Notamacropus eugenii: one gene and its partners. The protein of the gene in region 1 binds, or shares a complex with, the protein of each later gene. Links are inferred from orthologs where the notes say so. Each region holds a gene or a part of one and is shown on either strand. Other genes may lie near its edges. The genes, in order: PRPF8, LSM3, PRPF6 and AAR2.

Region 1 (7,122 bases):
ATGAAAATTCTACTTTTTACTGTAAGCCTTAACCAACCTCTCTTCCTTCCAGGGCTTTCCCTCTTTTCATTATTTCCTTTTTATCCTATGTATAACTTGCTTTCTATGTATTTGTGTGCACGTTTTCTCTCCCTTAAGGGCAGGGATTGTCTTTTGCTTCTTTTTGCATGCCTAGTGATTAGCCCAGTGCCTGGCACATAATGAGCATTTAACAATTGAGAGAGTGTTATTGCTACACAACCACCTTATTAATTCTACCACCCCCCCCCCAATTAATCTTCATAAAACACTTTATAAAGCACACCTTTCATTACAATACTCTCTGACTCATTTTGCAGATGGATCCTGAAGGATGAATTCTTCCCGAGTAAACTGTTAGCTCCTTGCAGGCAGTGATTATGACTTGCATGTTGTTGGTCACTAGGGGGTGCCATAGTGCATGGAGCACTGGGCTGGAAGTCAGGAAGACCTGGGCTCAAATTCAGCCTCAGACACTTACCCAGCTGTGTGACCCTGGGTAGGTCACTTATCCTCTGTTGGCTTCAGTTTCCTCATCTGAAAAAAGGGGATGATAGCAGCATTTACCTCCTAGGGTTGTTCTGAGGATCAAATGAAATAATAATTGCGCAACACCTAACAGCCAGTGTAGTTTAGTTTAGCACTTGGCACACAGTAGGTGCTACATAAATGTGCTTATTCCCTTTCTTTTCCCTTTGGCATCCCCCAGTGCACCTAGAATAGTGGGAAATGTGGAGTAGAGATTTTTTTCTCATCTTTTCATTAAAACAGAATCCCACTTAAACTAAATGTCCCACCAGAATCCTGGCCGTGTCCATATGCATGTATGTGGGTGCTTCTCGTGATGCTCTCTCTGACTTTGTTTCTTCTCTTATTTCTTGCTTTCCATTTTCTTCTTCTTCCCTTTAGTCTTTCTGTCTCTGCCTCTTGACCAGCCTACTAAATCTCTACTCTGCATTTAGCACAGTTATTTTTTTTTAAATTAGGATGAAGGTATATTAGGTGGGAAAAAAAAGAAACTGAGGTTCATCCGGACAAATGGTTTATTTATTTAGCAATGCATGGGATTGCAAAACAAACCGGGTCCAAGACTCTAGGTAAACCAAGGACCCCTAGGTTTGGTTTCTATGAAGTTAATATACAATTTGAACAGAGTGGAAAAAATGAAAAATAGGATTATTGGGATTAAGACATCTGGTTTCTTACTAGTAGAGAGTGAGAAATTCAAATTAATTCCACCTTGTAACTGATTCTATACTGTATTGATTTTTACAATTGAGTCTGCATCTGCCTAAAGCCACCTAGGTCCTTGAGATGAGCTGAGGAATTCTGATTTCCCTCTGAGTCACTTTAAAGTTATAATTAAAAGAAAAGTTGTCATCTTTCATACTGGTAGACCTTAGGATACTTCCAGGACATCCAGGACATCTGTTTGTTATCTTTAAGCTTCACAAGTTAACTTGGTACCATCCTCAAAAGATGTGTCATCTGTCCTTGCCTTTCCTTGAACAATTAGGAGAGTTTTGTCTCTTCCAAGGAGTTAGCAACCCTAACCCTAAATGCTCATTGGTAGCTTTGATCCCTTAGCAAAGATTATAAGATGGGGAGGGGTCCCATAAAACATTTAACATTCCTCAATTGTTTGAAAGGGGTGGCTACTAGTCCCACATAAATGCTAGCCTGATTTCCTTGATACAGTCTCTCATGTTGTCTCCATGGCCACAAGGCTGTTTATCAGTAACCAATCACATTGTCTTCCCCAACTACCCAATGCTGTACTTCTCCAAACTAAATGAAGGCTGGCAAGCCCTACCTAGGGGTCTTTGGTTATTGAGAGGCCATTGATTCAATGTATTGGATGCTGTTACCCTAATAAATTGGTGATGTTGGGAATCTTATCTCTCAGTTTACCTTTATTTCCAAATGTAATAAGGATATCAGGAGACACTGAGGTGAGAGGGAGAAGGGGAGTTTTGTGATATTTCTTAAGTTGGGGGACCTTTGGGAGAGGGAGAAATCTTGTGACTTCTTCAAAATCCAGAATGTGACTTTACAAACAGCTGAAACTTTAGCTTCACAAAATGGTGGGTAAGGGAAAAAATGGAATCATGAATGCTATTTTTTTTTTAATATAACAGGTACCAGCTCTAAGTTCCCTGACCCAATGTTGGTGTTAATCCTTCAGTTTTGAAGAGTCTTGACTTATTCATGAACAGAATTTAAGTGAGGCTGAATTGCATAAAGTCACCAGCCTCACTCTCCCAGAGTCATCCAAGTCCAGTGGCAAAACAAAAGTCTGAACGACTGGGGATGATCCAGGATGACGTTGGCGTCTTTGATGTCTGACCAAACTCTAAGCCCTCCACATTGTATACTTCAGCCACCTTCATGGCTGTTGGAACAAATTGTTCTCATCTACCCATTCCTCCAGAGATAGTTTTCACAAGCTTGGGCTAAACATCCTCCTAATTCATTGACAGGTTTGAGGTCTGTCAGTTACCCTCAATCTGGTTTAGCCTGTCTACTGAAACTTTATCCAGCCCTGAAAAGTGGTTAGTAAGCCCTGCCACCACAGGTGCTCATCCTCCTGAATACCCCATACACCTCCGACCCCATGAAACAGTCATAGAATGTCAGAGCCACAAGGGATCTAGTCCCAACTCTCCCCACTCACTTATGATGTTCCATCTCTGGTCTCTGTACAAACTATCCCTCCTTGCCTACTCATTGCGCATTCCTAGCTCCTAGAACCCCAGTTCCTTCCAGATGAAACTCAAGCAACAGCTCCTTCAACAAGAAGCATTTCCTGATCTCTCTAGTGGGGTCATTCCTTAAACCACCCTGCATGGTTGTATATATTCTATATGTGCTTATATAGGTGTACGTGGTCACCCTTGATAGAATTGCCCAGTACTTGGCTAAGTAATCAGGGTAGTCAGCATTCATACAGCATCTGAAGGTCTGCAAACTGCTTTACCCATATTAATTCATCTGATCATCATATCAACTCTGGGAGGTAGGTGCTGTTATGACTTCCATTTTACAGATGAGGGAAGTGAGGCAAACAAAAATTTAAGTGACTTGTCCAGGTTTGAACTCCAGTTTTCCTGACTTCAGGTCTTGCTGTTTTAACTTAAATACTTGTTGGTAGTTTGATTACTGTGAGAAAAGGGTTCTGGAAACCTTATAGAGGAGCTATATTATTATTTTACACAAGAAGAAACTAGCTACTGGGAGAGCTGGGACTCCAGAGAGCTGGAACAAGTAGATCTGTGTCTACCATGCGTCCCTGGGAGAAATGAAAATCAGGACATGGAGAAAAGAGAAAGCCCGGAGACACCGGGAGAGGCAGCCATGGAGACAAGAGACAGTCTACACTCACCAAGCGTGCTCCTACGGGCAGGTCACCTTGAGCCTCAGTTTCCCCAGCTTTAAAACTGGGATAACGAAGTCCACAGTTCCTACCTCGCCTGGGTGTTGAGGTTCTAAAGCGATAATGCCCTTGCCAAACCTTAAAGCGCAGGCACATTCCCGATTGCTCCATCCTTTTCATCCTCATCATCACAGTTTCTATTTATTATCCTCAGGGTGGCTGCTTTGGTTTGTTGAGTGGGACCTGTGATTTCCTAACCAGGTAAACTCAAGGTACCTGGCCGGATCCGCACCTGGTCCAGGGGCACTAAGGAATTGGACCCAGGTCTTCTGAGGTCCACGGTCAGCCCTATGGCCAGCTTTAGGGTTCTGACTACGGGTCTGGAGGAATCAAAAAACCTTTGCATACGTTTCATTTGCATAAATTATGCAAATCAGTGTAATACCTACATATTTGCATGAAAGCCGCTGTTCAGGGCCACCTCAAAGATCGGGGCGGGGCCAGAGCTTCTCCGAGCTGGGAGAGCGCGAGCGTGGGGAAGGCGGGGCTTATCCTCAGAGCTTCCCGCCCCCTTTCTGGGGCCAAGCCACTCTAACGTCTCGACCCGCCTCCTTCATCCGGATGCTTGGCGACTATTGGCTATGACCAACCTCCATCTTCTTCGACCGACACCGATTGGATACTAGTTTCTTTCCCCCCCACCCCCTCCTCGGTAGCTCCTTGCGCATTTCCGGGCGTTGGGAACGTGAGGCGGACGTGGGATTGCCGCCATTGCGTTTTCGTAGAAACTGCAAAGTGACTGCCGGGTGCTGTGGGGTAAGCAAAGGGGAGTAAAGGGCTGATGGCGCATGGCTGGTCAGGACAGGGGCGCGCGGGAAGGGATGGTTGGTACAAAGAGGTGAAGGAGAAATGGAGGGGGCGGGGGGGGGGGTGATGCTGGGGGAAGTGGCTGCAGTGTGAGGGAGGGAGCAACGCATGCGCAATGAGGTGGCGGGAGCGCGCGGGGCCGAGCATCTGGGAAGGGATGCGCAGTAGGCATGCGCAATGAAGCAAGGCCCCTGAACGAGGCTAGAAGGGGATATCAGGGTGAAAGGGGTAGAATGGGGCGCATGTGCAGTGGGAGGGAACGTATGGAGTCGAGGCTGTCCGGGTGAAGGGAGCAGGGTCGTGGTGAGGGGCAGTCTAAGGGAGAAGCCCCTTGGGGGTAGGCCGGGCTCCCTTGAGCGCTGCAGGCGGTGCTGATGAAGGCCTTGGGGGGTGGGGGGGCCCTGAGGACGGTAGGGGAGCTGCCGAGCGCACCCAGAGGTGCGGACCCGAGGTCCGTGAAGGGGACGATGCAAGAGGGCCAGCCAGGAGGTCTAGCGATGGGGGGATGGGAGGGGAAGCTTGGGGAGGGCGATCGAGCCACGACCCAGGCTCCCACTGCGGGTGGACACAGCCAAGGGGTCAGGAATGGGGGAGGGAGGCGGGGAAGGCACAGGAGTGAGAGGAGGGGTGGCAGGGAAGACCAGGGGGTCGCATTCATGTTAATATGAGTGTAGAGACCTGGGCATGGTTGCGGAAAGGCCCTAGAGAGTTTCCAGATTGCCCTTACCCTCCTTTGTGGTCATTTAGAGAGACTTTACTGAGTTCCATTACTATTCCCCAGGTTCTCCGGACATGGCCGGAGTGTTTCCCTACAGAGGGCCGGGTACCCCTGTGCCCGGCCCTCTGGCACCACTGCCCGACTACATGTCAGAGGAGAAGCTTCAGGAGAAAGGTGAGAGGTCTGGGAGAATTAGGCTGGGAAGTGGGGTGCTGCTTGGATCAGGTCCCCTGGGCACGCTCCCTCAGTATTCCCTGAGAATTCAGGTTCTGGCCTGTTGCTCTCATTCTTGTGAAAGAAAGCATTCTCTGCAGACCTATCGGGAAAGCATTTAGGAGTGGCACCTTGGGACTGGGGATGCTCACATGGGGTAGACAGTGATACAGTCTGGGTTTCCTCTCCAGCCCGAAAATGGCAGCAGTTGCAGGCAAAACGCTATGCAGAGAAGCGGAAATTCGGATTTGTAGATGCACAGAAGGAAGACATGCCTCCAGAGCATGTCAGGAAGATCATCCGTGACCATGGGGACATGACCAACCGGAAGTTCCGTCATGACAAGCGAGTCTACCTGGGGTGAGGAGATCCAGGGCTTAGAGAGATGTGAAAAAAGCAGAAAGATTGTTATTCCCTGAGAGTCCCAAGCAGCTGCCAGTTTGGGCTTGGTTGGATCATTGTCCTCATAAAACTGTGATTGTATCCCCAGGCTGTTTGATATTTTTATTTCTGCCCGTGATTGCTGCCCTCCTTTCTGACTGTAGATTGGAGTCCTGGACAACCCTTCTGGATAACACTTGTATGAGTAGTGCCATTCTTAATGCCCTTTGAGGGAGGGAGCTCCAGCAAACCCAAAAATTTACATTCTGTAGTTGCATTGTTGCATGAATTTTTTCTGTCATTTTAGGCCCAGAGTTCTCCTCTGTTCTGGCATACCCGAAAGTATGAATTCTTTTAAGGTATCCAGAACATAGAAACAGTAAAGCTGGTTGCCTCAAGTTCTCTTGTTCCTTTTACCTTCTCTGCTTCTGAACTCTAAGCTGGAGGCTGGATGGGTGGAGGGACCAAAACTTTAACAAATCACTGCCTCCACTAAGAAACAGAGAAACTGACAGTGTGATCACCTAGCCATGGGAGTTTTGGAGTTGCCAGGGCAATTGATTTCTGGAAAAATATGACTTGCATGGAACAGTGTAGTATTTGGGATAGGGAACAGAGAGCATCATGGGAGTACTGATTTTCTGTCACCCTCTGATTACCCAATGCCACAGTGCCCTGAAGTATATGCCTCATGCTGTCCTCAAGCTCTTGGAAAACATGCCCATGCCCTGGGAGCAGATTCGGGATGTGCCTGTTCTCTACCACATCACTGGAGCTATTTCCTTTGTCAATGAGATTCCTTGGGTCATTGAGCCTGTCTACATCTCTCAGTGGGGGTAAGGAAGACTGGGGGATGCTTGGGTTCTAGAGGTTGTCTCTTTGTTCTCTTCTGGGATTCTGATTGTGATGTGGCTCACCCCAGGTCCATGTGGATCATGATGCGCCGAGAGAAGAGGGACAGACGGCACTTCAAGCGCATGCGTTTCCCCCCATTTGATGATGAGGAGCCACCCCTTGACTATGCTGACAACATCCTAGATGTGGAGCCTTTGGAAGCCATTCAGCTGGAACTGGACCCTGAGGAAGATGCCCCTGTGCTCGACTGGTTTTATGACCACCAGCCCCTAAGAGACAGCAGGAAGTGAGTTCCCACAGGCTCAGATCAATAGACCAGACTCAGCTGGCAGGAGTTGTTGGTCCTCTTTGGGTCTGTCGAAGAGAGATTGGCTTTAGGAATGAATGCTATGGCCTGAGTAGCTGCTATTGGTTTCCCACTTTTGCCCCCCTTGTTTCCAGGTACGTGAATGGCTCCACTTATCAGCGCTGGCAATTCACTTTACCCATGATGTCTACTCTTTACCGCCTGGCCAATCAACTCCTAACTGACCTTGTGGATGACAACTACTTCTATCTATTTGACCTGAAGGCCTTTTTCACCTCAAAGGCCCTCAACATGGCCATCCCAGGGGGCCCAAAATTTGAACCACTGGTCCGAGACATCAATCTTCAGTAAGTGTCCTTAAAAAGAAGGGCTTGCAGGGTCCCTGGTTTG
Region 2 (6,898 bases), on another chromosome or scaffold:
TCATCCAAGTTTTCAACACCTGTCCATGCCCCCCCATCAGCCAATCAGTTGTCAAGTCTTGTGAATTCTACTTCCACATCTGTCACATTCATATTTTTTCCATCCTAGTTTGAGGTCTCATCACCTCTCACCGGATTACTTCGGAACTGTTCTCCCTGACCCTACCATCTTTCCTCTCTAATCTATTCTCCATGGGGTTGCCAAATAATTTTCCTAACAAATGGGTGTGACTAGGTCAGGAGAGACAGGTCTGACTCCCCTGCTCAAGAACCTGCAATGGCTCTCTATTGTCTCTAAGATAAAACACAAACTTTTCAGTTTGGCATTAAAACCCTTCACAGTCTGGCTCAAGATGTGCTCCGCATTGGCACCCTTGGGGCATTCTCGATGCCAGCCAAAGTGGCCCACCTGTTGTTCCCTGAACTCAAAATTCTCCCTCTCCCTATCTCGCCTCCTGTAATCTCTCCCTGAGACTCCCCCGGCTTCCTTTGGGTGTGCCTCCTAAGGAAAGCCCTTCCTGACTACTCTAAGCACTTCAGTTCTCCTTAAAGTCCTCGGGTTAGGTGGAGTTTATTTGGGCCAAAGGCACATATCCTTAGGGCAGGGGACTGACTCCCTTCTGTAGGCACACAGCAGATGCCTGCTGAACGAATATGTGTTAAATTAATAAGTTTGAGAAACAGCCTGGGAATGAGGATTTCTACTTCAGGATCTGGCCCTAAGCCACTGGACTAGGTTAGAGGTATTTCAGTCTTTCCATCCTGAAAATAAGGATGTTACCTCTTCCAAAGGTATCAATGACCTCTGAACCATTCTTTGAGTTAGCAAAAGTGACCCTGTGTATGTCATGTCTGCCTCGGGGCTGGAGATAGTCCTGAAAGTGCAGAAAAGCCGTAAGCCCCTCTGTTCTCAGTGATGGTTCCATGGACCAGAAGGACCCCTGACTACAACAGCTACATTGACAGTTGTAAGAAGAACATAAAATCTAGAGAAGAACTGGGAAGCAAACAGAGGCGCCCTGATATGAACAAGAAAATGAAAATGAAGACATTCCGGGGCTGTTGATTTGTGTCTTCTTACTGACAAAAAAAGCACTGCCCTTGTTTACACTTGAGGAGGATGTGGCTGGGATCCCGCTGGGAGCATCTGCTGCTTTTCTGACCGGGGACCAAACTTCTCTAACTGGCAGGACTCAGGGGAGATCTGATCACAGCTCTGAGGACCACTTCCGGTGACTTCTTCCTCAGTCAGACCACAACTCATTCAGAGGAGCCTGACTTAAGTGCTTGTATAGGCTAGGCCTTGGCCACTTCCTTTGTACCCTCAGTGATACAGTGTATTTCTTGTAAGCACTTTGTTTTGTTTTTTTAAAACTGAATTAGAACAGAAATCTAGCATTCTTCTAGAAGGGACAACAGGTCAAATCCTGGCTTGAACACATCCTTGCTCTGAGACAAGAGGCAAACCTACTTAACATCTCTAAACCTGTTTCCTTATTTATAGAATGCATATAAACATAAAATGTATATGCCAGGCTGAATTTCCTACCTCAGAGCTGTCACTATAGTTAGAATTTGTAAGTAAAAATCTCAAAATAAGTGGCACAATTTAAGCTTTGCAAATACTATGCAACATAAGCTTACTGGGGATTCTACATTCTTTGGGGTAATAGAAAATGAACCTGTCATGCTATGGGACAACTTTCCAGATAACTGGCATAGTGTGCCAGGGCTATAAAGGGCCTTAAGATTCATCCAGTTCAACCCTTTTTTTAAAACAAGTAATGACATCTTTCAATCCATACTTTCTACCACTGCAAGATTGATTTTTCTCATATAAAGATACGATCAGGCTGCTGTTCTGTCCCCAAATACTTCAATGACTCCCTATTATGTGCCAAAGTCCAGATTCCCTGGTCTAGTACTCAAGGTCCTGAAGGCTGTGGCACTACTCACTAACTATTCAGCTTTATTTCACAATACTCCTCTCTTCAAACTCTATGCCCCCACCCCCTGCCAAAATGGAGGACTACTCCCCCAATACATTGTTTTTGCTTTTTCCCAACTCTGGAGGTAACTTTTCTCAAACAGTTTCCTACATGTTATTGTCTCCCACCTCCAATCTCAATCTGCAAAAATGCTACATATCTTTCAAGACCTGCATCAAACTTTTCCAGCCTCTAAGAAAAACATTCCTTGATGATGCCTGTTGAAAACGAACTTTCCTTCTTTGGATGTGGCATTTGCTTATGTTTTATTTTGAATTACAATGAACAGAATCATGAATCTCAGAGACTGAAGAGCTGGAACCTCAGTCCAACCTGATCGCATTAGTGTGGAATTTCCCCCTAGCGGAATGTAAATTCCTTCAGGGCCATGACCTTCCCTTCTCTGGGGCTGAGGACACAGAGAACACCTCCTAACAAGTATTTGTGGAACTGAATGAACACTGAGGCTCAGCCATCCTTTAGTGCCTTAATCCAACAATCAGTCAATTGACAACCATTTATATTTAAATGTCAGCTTTGTGCCGGCTCAGGGGCCACAGAAGAAAATATGAAACTGCACCATCTCCTGCGTGAAGCATTTCTTGATCCTCCAAACTGCTGCTGCCCTCCCTCTCAAACAATCTCTTACTTAATAAATCTGGGCATAAATGGGGATGTATTCCTTAAATTTATCTTGACACTGTCCACATTTTTTATACGCACTTGTTGCCTTCTCCATTAGAAGGTACACTGTTCACTTGTAATGCCTGCCTCTAGAACAGGGTCCAGCTTAGTAAAAACCTGTCTGACTGACTTATAATAACGACGATAGCTAACACTTACATAAACACTTACATAATACATGTGTCAGGAACCATGTCACACATTTTTAAATTAATATCTCATTTGACTGATTATCACAACAAGGAGAGGGAGATGCTATTATTACTCCCCACTTTACAAGATAAGGAAACTGAGGCAAACAGCTTAAGTGACTTGCACAAGGTTACACAGCTAGTGTCAGGACTGGTTTGAACTCAATTTTCCTGACTCCAAGCCTAGCACTCTATCCACTGGGCCAAAGGAACTTACACTACACTCTTGGATAGATGAATGGATAAATGGATAGACAGACACAGACACAGATGAGACAGATGGACGGATGGAAGGATGGATGGATAAACGGATACACAGATGCAAATGGGACAGATAGATGGATGGATATGGAGATGGACAGATATTTAGGTGGATGATAAATATTTAAGTAGATGGAGAGATATTCTACTGGATGGGTGGATGAAAAGGACATAAAATGGATAAAGGAATAGCTATTGAGAGATGGTGGATGGAGTGTATATACATATACACAAAAAGAATGCAAAGTAACTTCAGGGAAGGTGGCTTCTGAGCTGTGCTTTGAAGGAAACTCGAGCACCTGAGGGACAGCAGAGATGTAGGGAGTGCATGCCAGGCCTGGGGGACAACCTAGGCAAAGGCTCGGAGGCGGGAGACGGAGCGTCACGTGGGCGGCTCAGCCAGAGTTCTCACCCCCGCCAGTCACACACCCCCCAGCCCGAGGAGACGCCAAGCCCACCGCCCCGCCCGGTCCCCCCACTCACCGGGCTCCGCTTCCTGGGTCCGGGCCTTCTTGGGGCGCCGCTGCTCCTCGCAGGACGCCCGCTTTCGGGCCATGCTGCACGGTCTAGCCCAGGAACAAGCCCGGGCAGCGGCTCAGGCGCGGGGCGGGGGCGGGGCACTAATCCTCCCCGGGCGGCTAAAGCCACGCCCCCTCTCCGACCTCCGCAGACAGACCCGAGGTGGAAGTGAAATCCACTAGGCGAGCGCAGGGAACCGCAAGGAGCAAAGCGTTCCTTACGTACTTCCGGTAACAGCAACCCTTTCTCTGCACGCCTCCCGGGCATTCGTCATCACGTTTGCTCTCGCTGATAGGCTGGCTGCCGCGAGAGCGTATACGTCATCTCGCGAGAAGCGGGAAAAGCAACCGGATTTGAAACATGGCGGACGATGCGGATCAGGTACGTTGCTGGAGAGCCTCCCTTTCCTCTGGGCTATTTCAGGATGCTTTTTGGAGCAGCCCTTTGCTCCTTCTTCCCGGATCCCGTCAAATCTTCCCTCCCCGCCAACCCTACCGAGAAATTCTGTAGTAACGGGGATTCTCTGAAAGTCTTGGGCTCCGAGTGGAGAAAGCCACGCCCTCCTCCGCTTTGTCACTGGCTGGCTGAGCTGTCTGTCACCTTCCGGCTAGCCAGCCGGAGTTTTCATTGGCTAGTCTTCTGGTCGTTGGCTGGACCGCCTCCTCCTGATTTACGGCTCAGCCAGCCAATGAGGGAGGACAAGTCTGTCCTGCCCTCCCTATCCCCGCCCCGAGTCCGCAGCCCTGGGAGGCTTGGCTTTAGCGTCCCAGAAGCCCCTTCCCCTGGCGTGCCCGCGGAGTCCCCCAGCCCACGCCGGTCCAGCCTGCCTCGGGTGGACAGGCTTTCTTGCTCCTTACCTCTCGTCTCCGTCTATTCCTTTGGAAAGCTTCCTTCTGCACGTTTGTAGTGACAAGGGTCTTGGGGGTGCTCGTTAATCATTATGCCCTTTGACCTCCCTCCTAACGATAAGAATAGCATGTGTGAGGGGTTTAGCGTGTGCAAAGCTGATTTTACAAGTGCTGTCTCATGTGATCCTCACAACAACCTGGGGGGGCGTTGTTATCCCCATTTGACCGCTGAGCCGACTCAGGCGGGCAGACGTGCAGTGACTTGCCCAGGGTCACACAGTGAGTGTCTTCCTCCCCAGCTCTTCCCTTCTCATCTGCAAGTCCCTTCCATTTTCAGCTTTAGTTGCCACTTGTCTCTGTATCTAAAGCCCAGCCAGATAAAGGGGACAAATACGTTTTCCCCATCCCACCACTCTTTTACAACCATCAGGCCCTCCGTTGCTGAAAATGTGACATTCTGCACAGCACCCTTAAACGTTTGCTATCTCTGAAGTGTTCTAGCCTGGCTGTGCTGCCTGCCCTGGGAGCCCTAAACAACCTTCAGGTGACAGTACTTTTGCCAGGCTGGCTTCTTGTAAAGAGGAGTTAAGGAATTCATTTTTAATGGAGTAACCTCTTGTAAGCTAGGTCAGGTGGAAACTGTAAGTGAAGAAATAATTGCCTTAGTGTCGGTTCTACAAAGAGCAGGTGGGTAATGTGCTGGAGCTCTTCTGGTGGGTGTGCATCATTGCAGTTTTTGTTTTTAACAGCAACAGACCACCAACACTGTGGAGGAGCCGCTGGATCTCATCAGGCTCAGTCTGGATGAGCGAATTTATGTAAAAATGAGAAATGACCGAGAACTACGAGGAAGATTGCATGTGAGTGAAGCGTTTCGAATCTGGGGCACACTGCAGATGGGGTTTGTGATTTCATCAGTAAAAAAAACTGAAAATGGGGGAACCCCCTCTATCAGTGCAACTCGGTGCCTTCTTTGCCAGCATCACAGAGATGTTAAGTCATTTGCTCGGGTCACAGTAGGTATGTGTGTCTGAGGGGGCACTTAAATCAGTTTCTGAGTCCAAGACCATCTGTCTACCATACTGACCTGTGTCTCAGTAGGCTTTGTAGTTTCCTCTAGAACATAGATCACATTAATGAGATCCACAGGAATTCTTTTCTATTTGACTTTGACACCACTGGTTTAAGGAACTGTGCTGAGGTTACAATATCGTGCCTGCCCCAGGGGGCATCCATTCTACTCGAAGGATCCAACATGTACATCAGTAATTATAAATAAGGTGTGAAGGGAGGCAGCGAGATCAGACCTTGGGTCTATTTTGTGTGGCCTGATGTGTGTGTCCCAAATTCTCTCCCTCATCTAACTGGGAGCAGAAGGGGCTTTTGCTTTTGTCTTTGCATCAGAAGTGTGTAGCACATAACAGGCACTTAAAAGATAATTAATTAGAAGTTAATTACAATATTCTAGAGTATTTGAGGAAGGAGAGAACCTTCGCATGTGAAGATGTCAGGAAACACTTCAGGGGGGGAAGGGATACCTGCTCTGAAAGAAGATGAGAGGTTTTGTTTGCCAATTGAGGGCCTGAGTTTGAATCCTGATTATACCTCTTATACTTGTGTGACTTAAGGCAAGACATTGGAACTTCTCTGGGCCCCATTTTTTTTGTCTATGAAGTGAGGACATTGTACAAGATGACCCCTAAGATTCTTTATGATTCTCAAGTCTTTAAGTTTACTAAGTAAGGAATCAGAAAGGTCAGTTGGTCAGTAAACATTTTTTAAGCACCCACTATGTGCCAGGCATTGTGCTAAGCTCTGGGGATACAAAAAGACCCATCCCTGACCTCAAGGAATTCAGAATCTAAATAGGGAGAAAACAAGCAGACCAGTATGTACAAACAAGCTATTTATACTGGATAAATAGGAAGTAAAAGAGGGAAGTTGCTGGGATTAAGAGGGCTTGGGAAAGGCTTACTGTAGAAGATGGGATTTTAGTTGGGACTTAAAGGATGCTAGAGAGGTCAGAAGGTGGAGCAGAGGAGGAATAGTATTCCAAGCTTGGTGGACAGCCAGGGAGAATGCCCAGAGATGGAGAGTCTTGTTTGTGGAATGTCCAGGAGGCCAGTGTCACAGGATTGAAGAGCACGTGGTGGGGAGTAAGTTGTAAGAAGACTGGAAAGGTGGGAGGGGGCTGATGATAAAGAACTTTGAATGCCAAACAGCATTTTCTATTTGGGGTTGGAGGTAATGGAGCTGTTGGAGTTTATTGAGTACGGGTGATGGTGATGTGGTTGGACCTGTAGGGGAGAGAGAAATAGTGAGGAGTCCAGAATGACTCCTAGGTTGTGAGCCTGGGTATGGGAAGGTAGAAGTGGGGAGGGTTCAGGGGGAAAGATAATGAATTCTGT
Region 3 (7,187 bases), on another chromosome or scaffold:
ATGTTACTTCTCCGAGGAGAGGTATAGGTGATCAGATTTCCAAATCAGGCGCAGTTTCCTTCCATACAAGATTTAAGGACAATACTCTGGCTGAGGGAAATGAGGAGGTAGAGACTGAACTCAGGTAGTTTTTGTCAAAAGAAAGTAAGTTTCCAGGTGCTCAGGACAATTGAGATATCTTAAGGCGGATAGGAGCTGGGTGTCAAGCCACCATTCCCCAAGGGGTATCCTAGATTCTCTGAATCTGAAGATCTAAAGGGGATGTAAAGTCCTTAAAAGTATGGATTGTCTCACTGTTTCAGGCAGAACTAAAAAGGTGACTCATCAATCAGTCAATTAATGGGTGTTTATTACATGCCTATATGCCAAGCACTGTAAGCACAGGGGATATAAATATAAAAATGAGGTAGTCCTTGTGCTTCCTTTGAATCTTTGAATTCAGTGAGGCTGAGATTTTCCTCATGGACTTTGGAAATTCATGATACTCCCTCGTCTTCAAGATATCTCAGATGTCCTGGGCACGAAGGAACTATCCTTCCTTTGGATAAAACCCCCCAAAATTGAAGAGTAGTCCTGTCAACCGTAGATATAGTCCAGCTCTGAGTGAACTCTGTGATTTTTTTTCCCCACTTAATATTATTTTATTTTTTCCAATTATATGTGGACAGTTTTCAACATTCACTTTTATAAGAGCTTGAGTTCCAAATTTTTTTCTCCCTCTCCCCCTTCCCAAGATGGCAAGCAATCCGATGTAGGCTATACATGTACAGTCTTATTAGAGATATTTCCACATAAGTCATGGTGTTAAAGGAGGAATCAGAACAAAAGGGAAAAACCACAAGAAAGAACAAAAAAGAGAAAATAGTATGCTTTGATCCGCATTCAGACTCCATAGTTCTTCCTCTGGATGTGGACAGCATTGTCCATTATGAATCTTTTGGAATGTCTTAGACCCTTGTATTGCTGAAAAGATCTAAGTCTATCAATGTTGGTCATTGAACAGTATTGCTGTTACTATGCACAGTGCTCACTTCACACAGCACCACGAACTCTGATTGTTTTTGGGAGAATAATGTTGTCTATATCTCACTTATACCTAATTCTAGGTAAATTAGAATTTCATAGTCAGACTCCTAGGGAAGTTCTGTGAGGGAAGGTCCAAGGCAGGAAGGTAAACCAGCCACAATATAAACCTCCAAGGAGGTGAAGATCCTTCAAGTTTCCTTGGTCTAAGTATAGATACCCCATGTACCATAGTTTCTCAAATTTCTGGGTCTCTTTACAGTAACTCCTAGAAATGATTGAGGCCATCCCAAAGAACTTTGGTTCACGTGGAGTTATGTGATATTTATTGTATTAGAAATTAAAATGTCTTCATATAATTATAAAAATAGTTTTGACTCCATGGACCCTCCTGAGAATTGCTGCTGTAAACCCTATGCTGCAAAGAGAAGGTCTAAATATTTCAAAAGAAGGTTTGTTAAGTCAATGATAAAACAAAATAACATGTGACTATGATCTTCAGAATATGTAGTATCTAAATCTCTGAATTCAGAAAGGTTTGGTTGGCAAATTTTAGGGACTCCATTCTCTATTTTCTATTTGCATCCTCAACTTTTGCCTCAATCCTGTTTTAGAAGCCTTGGGAGAGCAGCCCTTCCTTATCTGATCCCAGGGCTTCCTCCCAGGAAGAGGGAGAGATCTCTTTATCCTGGTGGAGTAGCTTGGTCTCTCTTGGAAGACCCTCTCTCTTTCTAGGGTTCTGGCTCTATACATTTTAGTCTTATTTTTTTTTTTTTTTACCGTAGTCTCATTCCTATTCTATGTCCCTGTGGCTTTACCCTGAGGGGCTGCTGCCACACCTACACGCTCCCACAGCCAGGAAGTGACGGTCTCCCTTTTTGTTGCCTAAACATGCCCACAAGTTTCTGAGGCCAATTTTTTGCCAGGGAAAACAGAGAAGAGTTGATGACTGACAGGTCCTAAAGTTAATGAACGTTCAGCCCTTCCCACTTCCACAAATTGGCCCTGTGGGAGGGACTCCTGTGAGTTTGAGGAGTGAATACTAGGAATATGCTAGAGTCAGCTCAAACCTCTCAAAGAGAGAGCTAAATGTTAAATTTTCTCTGTGTGTATTTCACCTCAGAAATTAGTCAGTGTTACAAATCAGGGTTTGAGCTATTGCTTTGTTGATTGTCTAGACTTAAGGAAGTGATGGAGAAATTGTTAGATGAAGAGTAAACTTATTAGTTTGCCATATGTCCATTTTTCCAGAGAGCCGGTTTTTAAGCATTTACTCCTATACCCCTGGGTGATGTGTATGGGGTGGTGATGATGGTATTAGTAGAAGAGTTCATAGTTTCAGGCCCTCCAACTTCTTCCCTCAGAAGGGGCTATCAGAGCAGGGTACCTAACAAGGCACCTGGGGCATTTCCTGTGTGATCTTGGACAAGTCTCTTCCAGATGAGTGGATTGATAGTTATGTAGGTCATATACTTGCCACAAGTCTGGGCCAAGGAGTTATAAGGAGAAAATGGTAGCATGCTGGTAGGTATAGAGATACTCATGTGTATATGAGCAGGAATGTGGAATATAAGGAAGTATGGGGGAAGTTTGACTCAGGGGATGTTGCCCCTCCATTCTGATCATTTTCTCTTTCCCTTCTACTGGTTCTGAGGTCTGGTGGCTGAGACATCAATTAGACCATACTGAATGACCTCACTCTAGTCTTCCTTCCACTCCTGAATGTCTCAGGACAGGAGCAGAAGATCTCTATGTCATAGGATCCATCTAGCAGTGGCTACAAGAGCTGGGGAACCCTGAGAAGGGGATAAATTAGAAGCTGGTGTGTATGGGAAGGGACATGTTAACCTGTCTAGAAGAGTCCTGGCTATCAGAACCCCAGAACCACACCGGGATAAAGTGAAATTTAAAGGAGATAAAAGAACAAGTACACAACTGAGAGATGGCTTGGAAAGGTCTTTGGTACAAAATGTTCTGTTCAGCATTCAAAGCCCTTTATAATTTAGCCCTCTCCTATCTTTCCAGTCTTCTTACACTTTATTTCCCAGTACATATTCTTCAATCCTGTGACATTGGCCTCCTAGCTGTTCCATGAAGATGACACTCCATCTCTCAGTTCTGGGCATTTTCTCAGCTGTCCTCCATGCCTGGAATGTTCTTCCTTCACTCTAACTACTAAGTTCTCTGGCTTTCTTTAAGTCTCAGTTAAAATCTCACCTTCTACAGGAAACCTTTCCTAACCTTTCTTATCTCCAGGGCCTCCCCTCTATTAGCCATTTCCTATTTTTCCTGTAACAGAGCTTGCTTTGTATGTATTTCTTTGCATGTTGTCTCCCCCTTAGATTATAAGCTTCTTGAGAGTAGGGACATAACTCAAAATTATACAAGACTCCTCAACAGAGGTATAGTTGTGTGCCCCAGTGAGACTTTAGCAAAGCTGAAAGGTAAGGATGGGTAAAAATACAGAAAAATGTATGGTAAAGTCTTTAAATGCAAAATTAACATTCCACATCTTTGGAAAGTTCAGATGCTTGAACAGCACAGTTGCATATGAAAAGCAGGGTGGCTAGGTGGCGCTATGGCGCACAGATTGCCATGCTTTCTGTCAGGAAGCTATACCTTCCTGAGTTCAAATCTGACCGCAGATACTTACTAGCTGGGTGATCCTAGGCATGTGCTGAACCCGTTTGCCTCAGTTTCCTCATTTGTAAAATGAACTAGACAAAGAAATGGCAAACCACTCCATTGTCTTTGTCAAGAAAACTCCAAATGGGGTCTGGAAGAGTTGGACATGACTACAATAACTGAACAACAACAAAATTCTCCTCATTCCTCCTGCCAGAAGCTCATGGTTGTTGTATTATATAAGATAATAATTGTAACACAATAGTGCCTGATACATAAAAGTGCTATATAATGTTAACTATTATTATGTACTCTCATTTCTTTTCCAATTTGTATGACAGATTCTTCTCAATCTCCTTTGCTGGATCACTGTCCATGTACTCTCCCCTGCACCCCTGAACCCCACCTCAAGGTACCATGTACCATCTTCATTTCTGTGCCAAAGTCAAATATTCTTAACTTTTTTGGGGGGGGAGGGACATTTTTGGCAGTCTGGTGAAGCTACAGATCCAATCTCAGAATAATTTTTTTTAATGTATAAAATATAATACATACAATTGCAAAGTAAAAAAATTATAGTGAAGTTATAATCAAAATATTTCTAAAAACCCAAGCTCTTAGTTCCCAGGTTAAAAGCCCCTCTTGTAGGTGATCTCATCAGCTTCTCATGGATTCAAATGTCATCTCTGAATGTCTGCCCAATCTACATATCTAGCCTACATCTCTTTCTTCAGTTCCAATCTTACATCACCAACTCCCTGCTGGACATATTTGCCTTGCCTGGATGCCCTGTAGGCATCTCATACTCAACATGTTCACAACAGAATTTCACAATCCTCCTTAAGCCCACCCTTCTTCTTAACTTCCATGAAGGCACCACAATCCTTTCAATCAGGTTTCCAAACTATGTTGGGCATCATCCTTGACCCTCAGGTCTTCCTTAACCCCTATATCCAATGAACTGCTAAATGTTATTGGTCTAACCTTCACATCTCTCACATCCTTCCCTTTCATTCATAGTCAGTCTTGGGTAAAATACAATCTCCTTCCTTTAGTCTGCAGAGTCCTTCCAAAGCCTCTTCTCAGACTTACAATCCTGCCTTTCAGCCACACTGACCTACTGGTCATTCCTCTGAAGCCTGTCTCCTCTCCTTGCCTTTGTGCACTGGAGACTTCTCCCCTCACCTTTGCTTTTTGGGCTCCTTCGCTATTTCCGTATCTCGGCTCCAGGCTAATGCCCTGACCACGGACTTTTCTGGTTCCTCGGTGCCACCCCCTGAATTATTCTGTATTTATTAGCCTGTCACTTTCCCCAGGGTGGCACGGAAGCCACTTGACTTGACGGTACGCATGATTTCATTTTTGTCACTCTATCTACAGGTCCTAGCAGAATACCTGGCAATTTTAGCAAGTGCTAAATCAAAGCTTCTTGAACGAACTGAATTGTGTTTTCGTGCGTCCGTGTTCACGAGCTGGGAGCTTTGTGTCTTTACGTTACGTGTATCGTATCCGTGGGCGGAGCCAGGTAGGAAGAGCGTGGGCAGCTTTATGCGGGGAGGGGGAGAAGCTGTGTACCTGCGCGCATGTGCACAAAAGGCGCTCCCACATTCCCACGCTCCCGGCGACCTCCCCAGAACGGATCTCCTACGCATGCGTAGACACCTACCACTTAGGGCCCTCGCTGTTTTGACACCGTCGGGCCGGAAGGCTAGGGAAAAAGTGCTTCCTGTCAACCTCCAGAGAGGAAGAGGAGGGGTGGGGCGTCGCAACGGAGACGTTCTACACTTCCGGGTTTCGGGTGACGTACTTCCTCCTCCTCAGGTCCGAGGTTCTGCGACATCTCAGTCTCGGAGGAGTACTTTGGGGTGTCCCCCTTGGCTTCCCCGGAGATCCCCGGCTTTCCCGCTACCAGCAGACACCATGAACAAGAAGAAGAAGCCGTTCTTGGGAATGCCCGCGCCCCTTGGCTATGTGCCGGGGCTGGGCCGCGGGTGAGCGGGGACTGCAGCAGAGCCGAGGCCGGGGCCCGAACGAGAGCGAGACGGCCTTGGGCCGGTGGAAGCTGCGTCCCTCATCGCTCCTCCGCCCTCTGGTCGTCCGCCCGTGCCCTCGGGGGAGGGGTGGGGAGCGGTGGAGGCTGCTCTGGGGGGGCTGGTCTGTCACACACACACACACACACACACACACACACACACACACACACACACACTTTCCCCACCCCATACTTATCGTCCTTTCTATTCTCTTTTCTCTCTGTCTCTCCTCATCCTATTTATCCCTCCCCTGTCTTCCTCTCTCTTCATTCCCTCCGATTCCCCAGCAGGCCTTGATCTTCAGTTCGCTCTCCTTACCCATCTTTATCCAAACAAGTACTGCCTCCTAATAGTGACCACCGTTCAGTACTAAGTAAGCCGCGGGGTTTGCCAAAGACTTCTCTTGCAACCCTGCTGTGACTGATGCAAGAATACATCCCCTACGTCTTACAAGTCGGATACCTGGGGTTTAGGGAGATTAGATGCTTTGCCACCTGAGCCAGGAAGTGTCACTGCAGGGATTTTCAATTTCGGGATTCCTGATTCAGCCCAGGGCTCCTTCTGGGAAACCCCACTGCCTTACGTTCAAGCTCTCTTTCTTGATCCTGGATTGGACAGATTGTAACATTTCATCTTTCCTACCTGTAGCTCATCTTTCGTCTGTCTTAATTGATCCAGTTAGGGGAAAAAACTGAACACAATGTCCTTTCAGCAATAGACCAGAGATTTCATCTTCCTATACAGTTTAAAGCATTTAAGTTTTGTTTTGAGAATACAGCAATGCTTAATTTCCGTTGAAATAGCACTGTGGCATGTTGAAATTACTTTTTCCTCCCCATAAATTTCCCTTTACTAGAGAAATAAAAGTGTTTAGGAGTATGCTAGAAAAACAGAGGAGGGAAATGGGTGTAAGGGTAAGGTAGATGAAATGACATTTTGCTCCCTTATCTTCCCTAGCTTACTTCATGTCTGTTAAACCCCACCTTCTACAAGATAACTTTCTTTCCCAGTTGTCCTGAATATTAGTGTTTTTCCTCTCAGATTTTCTCCATTTTGTATATAGTTGTTTGCATGTTATCTCCCATCATTAGGAGTCCTTGCTCCTTGAGGGTAGAGACTGTTTTTGCCTCTGTCTCTGTATCCCCACTGCTCAGCATCCTGCAGCATAGCACCTAATGAGTATTTTTTGACTTGATTGAAATCTGTTAAGAAGTAATATGGCTTCATGGATAGAGGCTTCACTTGGATTAAAACCCTGCCTCTTATACTTATTAGGTGTGTGACGGTCCAAATCAGTTAACCTTTCTGAACCATGGCTTCTTCAAATACAAAGTGGAAAGAGTAAGAGATGTACATACCTCACAGGATTATTTTGGGTCTGAAATGAGACAACGTGTAAATCACTTTGCAAACTTTAAATCTTTATATAAGTGTCATATATTGATATTAAACAAATATCTTAAACATTTGTGGAGAGTGATCATATATCAGTAGCTGAATCCATGC
Region 4 (7,716 bases), on another chromosome or scaffold:
ACTAAGCACTTAATATTTATTCAGTGACTAAATGACCAAGAAAGATTAGGGCTGGATATATAGATTTGGGAATATAGAAATAATTGACCCTATAGGGAATGGTGAGATCACCAAATGAAATAGTATAGAGTAAAAAGAGAAGACAGTCCAGGACAGAGCCCTGGAGGACACCTGTGGTCAGTGGGCATGGCATGGATGAAGAACTAGTCATGGAGAATTAGAAGGAGCAGTCAGGCAAGACAGCTAGAAGAGAAGTGTCACAAAACCCATAGAGCTTAGAGTTTCCAGGAGAAGGTGGTCAACAGCATTAAATCCCACAAAGGGATTTAGGAAGATCAAGATTGAGAAAAGGACATCAGATTTTGCAATTAAAGGTCATTGAGATAATTGGTAACTGTAGAGAAAAATGTTTCTATTGAATTATTAGAATGGTTAAATGACTGGAGTTCAGATTAGTATTAGAGATTAGAATGCTGTTGAATGGCTAGAGGTTAGAAGTCGGATTACAGAAGGTTTCAAATAGAGTAAGAAGACGGGAGGTGCAGCGTAGGTAGCTTTCTCAAGGAGTTTAATTTGAGATGACAAGATAAAGGACTATCACTAGTGGGGATGGTAGAATAAGGTAAAAGTTTTCAAGGATGGAGACTTGGACATGTTTGTAAGTAGCAGTGAAGGAGCCAATAGATATGGAGAGATTCAGTATAAGGGAAAAAGTAAGGGTAAAAGTAGAAGCAATCTGCTAGAGAAGATGGCAGAAGACAGTATCAAGACTGCATATGGAAGGTTGCCTTTGAAGGAGGGCCACCTCTTTATTGTACACTAGAATGAAGAGATAAGCAGGGAAGATATCTGATTGAAATGAGATGAAGAGGAAGGGAAAAGGGGGAGTGCTGGAGTAGCTTCATTTTACTCAATGAAATATGAAGGGAACTCTTCATCTGAGATAGTGGGGGTTAGGGTGTCATGGGAGACTTAAGGAAAAATGAGAATGTTTGGAATAGCTATTGTGGAGAGTGGGGCAGCAAATCAATTAGGAATAGAATGTCTTGCTGTAGTGAGGGCCCATTTGAGATTATGTAACCTAAATTTGTAGCATAGTTAGCAATTTTGTGATTTCCTCTAGCTCTGTGCAACAGCATGTGGATAGGAGCAAAGGAGGCAGATAGTGGCAGTAGTCCAGGGTTTGGGCTTGGCAAGTCATGATTGTCAGTAGGACAAGGAGTCAAGGGAATTGAGGGTAGAGGACGGTATTGCTGTTCATGTTTTGTTTTCACAGAGGACAAATGACATCATAGTGTGATGTCTTGACTCTTGAATGAACTGGATTTAAGTGAGGAAAAGTTGCACAATTTTGTCAGCTTCACCCTCTCTTCAAGAGTCATCAAAGTCCAGTAGCAGGACAAAAGTCAAGACAGTTGACAATGGCCTGGGATGTAGTGGATGACCTTGGTGTCTTTGATGTCTGACCAAGTTTTAAGGCCCCCACAGCCCCTGTTTTAGTTGCCTTCAAGGTTTTTGTAACAAATTGTTCTCATCTACCCATTCTGCCATGCTTGGTGTAGACACCTCCCCAACTCACCGAGTTACCCTCAACCTGGTTTAGCCTGTCTGCCACACTGGCGTGTGGCCACTATTCATGCTATAGCTTTTTGGAGCCACAGGTGAGAACTGGGTGAAAGGTATGCACCAAAGGTGGATGAGCAGCCCTGAAAAGATCTCAGCAAGTCCTTCCTGATCTTCTTAAAAAGCAAGGTGTAAGTAAAGGAGACTGGAGGATAGTATGGAGTTAAATTGGTTCATTAAGAGTTCAAGATAGGAAAGGGAGAAAAGTATAGCCAGTGTAGGTATGATGACCTGGGAAAGAACTGAGGGATAGAGAGAATGGAGGTCATAATGAAGATGAAGATAAGATTAAGGGTTATAAAAAGTGGGGAAGGTGAAAGGAAAATAGATTGTGAAATAAAGGATTTTCAGAGCTTATGAACATGGAAGTGTTATGGGTAATGGGTTATGGGCAAGGTCAAAGGTGTGACTATCTCTTTGTGTAGTTGAGAAACTAGAAAGCTAGAGTATCTGAGAAGGTATCAACACATATATTGAAGTTCCCTGATATGAGGATAGGAGTTAGGGAAGAGAGAAGGACTTCGAGCCCTGTTTTTGATGTAGATGCTTGTTCCCTAATATAGTGTTCCTGATTCTTTGCTGAGCTGGAATCTTGTCCTGAGATTTGTTTTCTCTGCAATGCTGCTCTCTGCTGGTCTTTAGCTCCTGTACAACTTCTTTCCCAGTGGCAGGGAACCTCTTTTGTGATTTCAGATGCACTTGGGCATTTAAATTGGTCTTTTGAACTTAACTCCACAGCTATACTTCAGACTTTCAGTGTAAATTCTAATTTGTGTTATGATCAGAAAAGTAATTTTCATTCTTATCTTACCCATGAGAGCCTGCAGATCACCCCAGGAGTTCCATTTAGCAAGACTGCAAAGGACTTCAGTGGAGCTATGGTGAGATTACTCTCTGTGGTCCACACAATAATTCAATAGCAAGACTAGAGAAAAGCTGTTGAATGGAGATAGCAACCGTCCCCTCCTTTTGTTGTCCCATTCCCCACTCCCATCTGTTATGGAGGAATAAAGGAACTGAATAATTGCCTCTGGGCAATGATGTATTGGCAATGCATGTGGTTGCAAAACAAACCGGGTCCAAGACTCACGGTAACTAAGAACCCAGAAGCTTTGTTTCTCACAGTTAATATATAATTTAGAAGGAGTAGAAAAAACTGGAAAAACACAGGATTATAGGGATTGAGACATCTGGTTTCTCCTTGGTGGAATTTGGGATGGGGGAGAGGATCGGAAGACACTGAGATGAGAGGAAGAGGGGTATTCTTGTGACATTCTTTAAGTCAGGCGTGAAACCTAAATCAGGTGACTTACGTGGATTTGAAATATTAACTTCATAAAATGGTACATAAAAGCAAAATAGAGTCACTAATACTAATTATCTTAATCATTTGCTGTATTCCTTTTGGGGATTAGAGGACAGGCAGTGGAGAGGCATATGATCAGCATGAGTAAGCTATGACACACTAATAATAATTGTTGACATTTATAGAATGCATGGTGGTTTGCAAAATGTTTTGCGCGCGCACGCGCGTGCGTGCGTGTGTAATTTACAACTAACCAAGCAAGAAAAGCAGAAAAAAAGGATGCCATCAGATATACTGTGGTCTACTGAAAAGGAAGGTGGGCAGGTCATACTGAAAGAGGGAGGCATAACCAATAGATAGTCCTCTTGCTGACATACATGTAAGGTTGAGAGAACTAGAGAAACACCCTTCCCCCACCTACCTCGAAGAGTTGTTGTGAGAATTAAACGAGGTATTTGTAAAATGCTTGCCACCGTGCCTGGCACATAGCAGGTACTTTAGAAATGCTTATTTCATTCCATTCCATTCCATTCCACCATCCGAGTACACTGAATGGTCCAATGGAGATCCTGTAGATGATTTATGGAAGGATGTGGTCAATAATCACAGAGAATGATAGGGTGTTTATGGGTGGTGATTTGTATCCTTGGAAGTTCCTACATGAATGAGATCATCCAAGTGTGGAAGATGGTAGAAATATTCTCTCCATGGGACAGGATGAGTACCAATTAGGTTAAATCAGCCCAAGGTTCCAGTTAAGAGTGTTACAGGGCACCTCTTCCAGATAGGGACTCTCAGGTGGAAGTCCCTCAGGTGTCTGGATTGGGGAAAGAGAAGATCCAGGTCCATGGCAGCAAGGAGGGTTCTCCTGGAAGAGAGACTAACCTTGTTCTTCTTGGCCCTAAAAAAAGCAAAACTAGGAACAGTTGGTGGGAATTAGAAAGGTAGATTGTAGATCCACCTCAAGAAAAATCTTCTTAAAAATCTAAATTTTCTAAAAGTGGATTGAGATGCCTTGTGAGGGAGTGGATTCCCTGTCACTAAGGTCTTCGAGTGAAAGAAAGAGGGCCACCGATGGTCGACCCTGTAGAAGGGATGGCTGCGCAGATCCTGGTGGCAGGTGATGCCTTCCAGCTGTGAACATCTGTGAGTGTGAGGCTTGGTGACTGGCTGCCTGGGTGGGGCAGGACCTGGAGCAAACCCATAGATAGACAGACAGACAGACAGACAGACAGACAGACAGACAGATAGATAGATAGATAGATAGATATGTAATTTACGTAAAAAATTGAGTTTTGAATTCTCTCAGTCTTCAGCCTCCCCATGAGAAGACAAGAAATGTGATGAACCAATTAAACATGTGAGGTCAGGCAAAACATTTCCGTATTAGCCATATCGCGAAGAAAACGAGAGAAAAAGGCAAGAAAGATGACGAAAGGGAAAACATTATGTTTCAGGCTGCACTCGGACACCATCCGTTCCTTCCCTCTGGAGGTGGGCAGCATTTTTCATCTAAGTCCTTCGGAATTGTTTCGGATCCTTGTATTGATCAGAAGAGTTGTCGGTCGATAAACACGTAGTAAGCGCTTACTACGTTCCAGGCACTGTGCTAGGTGCTCCTCTAGGACTCCGAGGTCTAGAGCGTCAGGCACTCTATGGGGACACCAGGGGTGGCAGGCGGAACCCAAGGATGTAGGAACCCCTCTCTCACCGCCCCCGGGTGGGAAGGGAGCATTTTCCCCTTGCACCCGCGTCCCCATCCCGGGAGGAAGCGGCCGCACTTCCGGCGCACGGCGGGAGCGGCCGCTAAGGGGAAGCTGTCAGCCGGGCCTGGGAAACGATCCCTCGGGGCGCCTCGGCCGCCGGCCCTCAGTCCTCCGGGGCCCCAGCGTCCCGAGCTCGGGTCAGGAGGGCCTCGAAGGGCGGCTGGGCGTCCCCGATGGATCCGGAGCTGGCCCGGAGCCTCTTCTTCGAGGGCGCCACGGTGGTGGCCCTGGGCGTGCCCGAGGGCACCGAGTTCGGCATCGACTGCAGCTCGTGGCAGGTGGGCCCGCGCTTCCGCGGCGTCAAGATGATCCCCCCGGGCGTCCACCTGGTGCACTACAGCGCGGCGGGCCGCAGCCCCTCGGGGACCCGCGAGACAGGCCCGCGCACGGGCTTCTTCGTGAGCCTGCGGCCGCGGGCGCTGCGCCTGCTCCGCTGGGACGCGGCCCGCGAGGAGCTGGACCTGAGCCCGGCGCCCGAGGCTCAGCTGGAGGCCGTGCGGGCCAGCCTGCAGGAGCTGGATCGCTTCCTGGGGCCCTACCCGCACGACCTGCTGAGGAAGTGGGTGTCCCTGAGCAGCTGCCTGAGCGAGGAGGCTGTGCGGCGGCTGCAGCCCGAGAGCGGGCAGATCTGCGCCTTCTCCGAGGTGCTGCCCGTGCAGCCCCTGACCTACACCAAGGACCGCGCCGAGCGCGGCCCGCCGGCCTGCGGCGCCGAGTGCCGGAGCTACCGCGAGGGCCTGGCCCGCCTGCCGCAGATGAAGCAGAGGGCCGGCACCGAGATCCGCTTCACCCCGCTGCCCAAGCAGACCTACCCCGACGGCGCCAGCCCGGCCGAGATCACCAAGCACAGCATGGACCTGAGCTACGCCCTCGAGACTGTGATCAGCAGGCAGTACTCCGCCAACCCCCAGGATGTCCTGGGTAGGTATGACTGCTTCCCTTTTGTCCCGAAGGTAAGAGAGGTGGCCGAAAGTCCAGGCGGGGTCGTGAGAAAAGCTCGAAATTTGGAGTCACTGGACTCAAGAGCCCAGGCTTTAGCACTCACTGGTCTTGGACCAGTCTTCACCATCCTGCCGTTTTAGTCAAATGAAGCCTAAGTTTTATGAGTTTTATGTATTATGAGTATTATAAGTTTTATTAGAGCTCCTGGAGCTCTAATAAAACTTATACGAAGTGGCCTTGATAGATCCTAACACTTTGGTAGCTCCTCTTAAGGAATTGTAGATTGTCGGATCTAGCACAGAGTCCAACTTCTCCTTTATGTTGCACATGACTTGATGCCCAGGGAGAAGAAAGTACTTGCCTAAGACAGTCTCCTGTCTCCTACTGTAGAGCATATCCAGCAATTCTATTCAGCTTTCCTCTTCAACATTTAACAAATTGTTAAGTATATGTACAGAACACAGTAGGAAATAAAAAGATAAGTAAGACCCAACCTCATCTCTCAAGGAGCTCAATACAATACTACAGTTAAGAGTATACAGATAAATATAATACAAATGGAATACGGAGTACAAAGAACTATGAGATCAAGTTTCTAAGTGAAACAGTTGTAATATGTGACCTATAAGGTCCCTTAGAACTCTACATGCCATGCCACTAGCCAAAGAACTTAGATAAAGGTTCCCAGAGGAACTAGAATTTGAGCTGGACCTAGAATGACCATAGGATGTCCAGAGGTGGAGATGAAATGAGGGACATTCCTCTTGAACTATTGAATCCTTTTACAATTTTATTCCCTTAATTTACTTTAGAGTCCTGTCACAGGATGTGCAGAGCTCTCTTGGGTGCTAGTCTGGTTGCATAGTCAGTGAACCAAGAATTAGTTCTCTGAGGTTTATAGAATTTATTCATGTGGAATGTTGCACTTGTAAAGTTGATTAGTGTACAGCAGGATTTTTTGGCTACACAAAGCCTTACAAAGCACTTTTCAAGGTGTAATAAATTTTTACAGTCCTCCTGTGAAGCTGAGATAGCACTGCCAGTCACCCACAGAACACTCAAGTTTAGTTGCTAAGCATTACGATTTAACAGTGTTTGTTTATTACAAAGGTAGCTGGTGGAGTTGCAGCATTTAACACATCTGCTCACCCTGATGGCTCATCGTCATTTCCCCCATTGGCCTCCTGTTGCTCTCTTTGAGGAATAGTTTATTCCATTGCTCTATATCCCCTAGCACATCCTGTAGTTCTCATTCCCCTGTGATTTTTCCTGCAGTTCCTGAAATGCTTCCCCATGTCTCCAACATCTGTCCAGTCCCTGGGTAATTACAGCGTATAAAGCACTGGATTATGGGTCAGGATGCTTGAGCACTGGGGTTAGTTCTGCCACCTGCTCACTATGTGATCTCAAGCAAGTCTACTCTGAGCATTGGTGTCCCCATCTGTGAATAAGGGTGTAAAATTAGTTATTTCTAATATACCATTTGACTCAAAAAATTCTGAGTCCTGTGAGTCATAAATCAGATACATGCATTGCCCCTAAGAATTGTGAGAACTTAGAAATTAAGTTAAGATAATTTCCCTTTAGAGCCCTGCACTTCAGGCTCCATTTCTCAGAACTGTTAAGTTGGCATTGAAGTTGCTCTTGTTTCATTCCCCTCCCTTACCCCACAACTCTACAGTATTTTTTTCTCCCCCAGTTGCTTCTTTTGAAGAAAGAGAATTTATGAAGGTCCTTCCAAATCTATAGCAAGGATGAGTGGGAATTAAAAGGTATAATATCCCTAGGCACATGCAAACAGACTAGCAGGTCTGGGAGATATAAGAAGGAACTGGAAATAGTCAAATCAGGGTTTTTTTAATGGGGTACCAGGACAAACTTGCTCAGTTACTGCACACAGGTAATAAGCATTTGTTAAGGGCTAATATAGGGTGTCAGACACTGTGCTATGAGCTGGGATACAAATTCAAACACCTGCCTTCAAGGAGCTTACATTCTATGGGGGGAAGATAGCACATAAAAAGAGATGTGAAAATGGAGTGGAGGGACATGAGGGATGGTGGCAGTCCAGAGAGTCTG

What was found.
Region 2: PRPF8 (region 1) and LSM3 share a complex: the UniProt entries of both Homo sapiens proteins name them as parts of the U4/U6-U5 tri-snRNP complex. The link is inferred for Notamacropus eugenii from reciprocal best matches to the Homo sapiens genes PRPF8 and LSM3.
Region 3: PRPF8 (region 1) and PRPF6 share a complex: the UniProt entries of both Homo sapiens proteins name them as parts of the U4/U6-U5 tri-snRNP complex. The link is inferred for Notamacropus eugenii from reciprocal best matches to the Homo sapiens genes PRPF8 and PRPF6.
Region 4: PRPF8 (region 1) and AAR2 share a complex: the UniProt entries of both Homo sapiens proteins name them as parts of the U5 snRNP complex. The link is inferred for Notamacropus eugenii from reciprocal best matches to the Homo sapiens genes PRPF8 and AAR2.

Annotation. Positions count from the first base shown.
Region 1 is NC_092873.1:39,717,317-39,724,438, reverse strand, and holds the start of PRPF8 (pre-mRNA-processing-splicing factor 8), read left to right. Parts: upstream 1-4,113; 5' UTR 4,114-4,207; intron 4,208-5,039; 5' UTR 5,040-5,050; coding exon 5,051-5,150; intron 5,151-5,380; coding exon 5,381-5,549; intron 5,550-6,241; coding exon 6,242-6,406; intron 6,407-6,492; coding exon 6,493-6,711; intron 6,712-6,866; coding exon 6,867-7,079; intron 7,080-7,122. UniProt on the Homo sapiens protein: Plays a role in pre-mRNA splicing as core component of precatalytic, catalytic and postcatalytic spliceosomal complexes, both of the predominant U2-type spliceosome and the minor U12-type spliceosome.
Region 2 is NC_092874.1:429,469,778-429,476,675, forward strand, and holds the start of LSM3 (U6 snRNA-associated Sm-like protein LSm3), read left to right. Parts: upstream 1-3,877; 5' UTR 3,878-4,002; coding exon 4,003-4,023; intron 4,024-5,239; coding exon 5,240-5,350; intron 5,351-6,898. Other genes in the region: XPC (DNA repair protein complementing XP-C cells), read right to left, coding at 3,607-3,679. UniProt on the Homo sapiens protein: Plays a role in pre-mRNA splicing as component of the U4/U6-U5 tri-snRNP complex that is involved in spliceosome assembly, and as component of the precatalytic spliceosome (spliceosome B complex).
Region 3 is NC_092872.1:496,238,641-496,245,827, reverse strand, and holds the start of PRPF6 (pre-mRNA-processing factor 6), read left to right. Parts: upstream 1-4,171; 5' UTR 4,172-4,998; coding exon 4,999-5,639; intron 5,640-7,187. UniProt on the Homo sapiens protein: Involved in pre-mRNA splicing as component of the U4/U6-U5 tri-snRNP complex, one of the building blocks of the spliceosome.
Region 4 is NC_092872.1:420,100,964-420,108,679, forward strand, and holds the start of AAR2 (protein AAR2 homolog), read left to right. Parts: upstream 1-4,714; 5' UTR 4,715-4,868; coding exon 4,869-5,616; intron 5,617-7,716. UniProt on the Homo sapiens protein: Component of the U5 snRNP complex that is required for spliceosome assembly and for pre-mRNA splicing.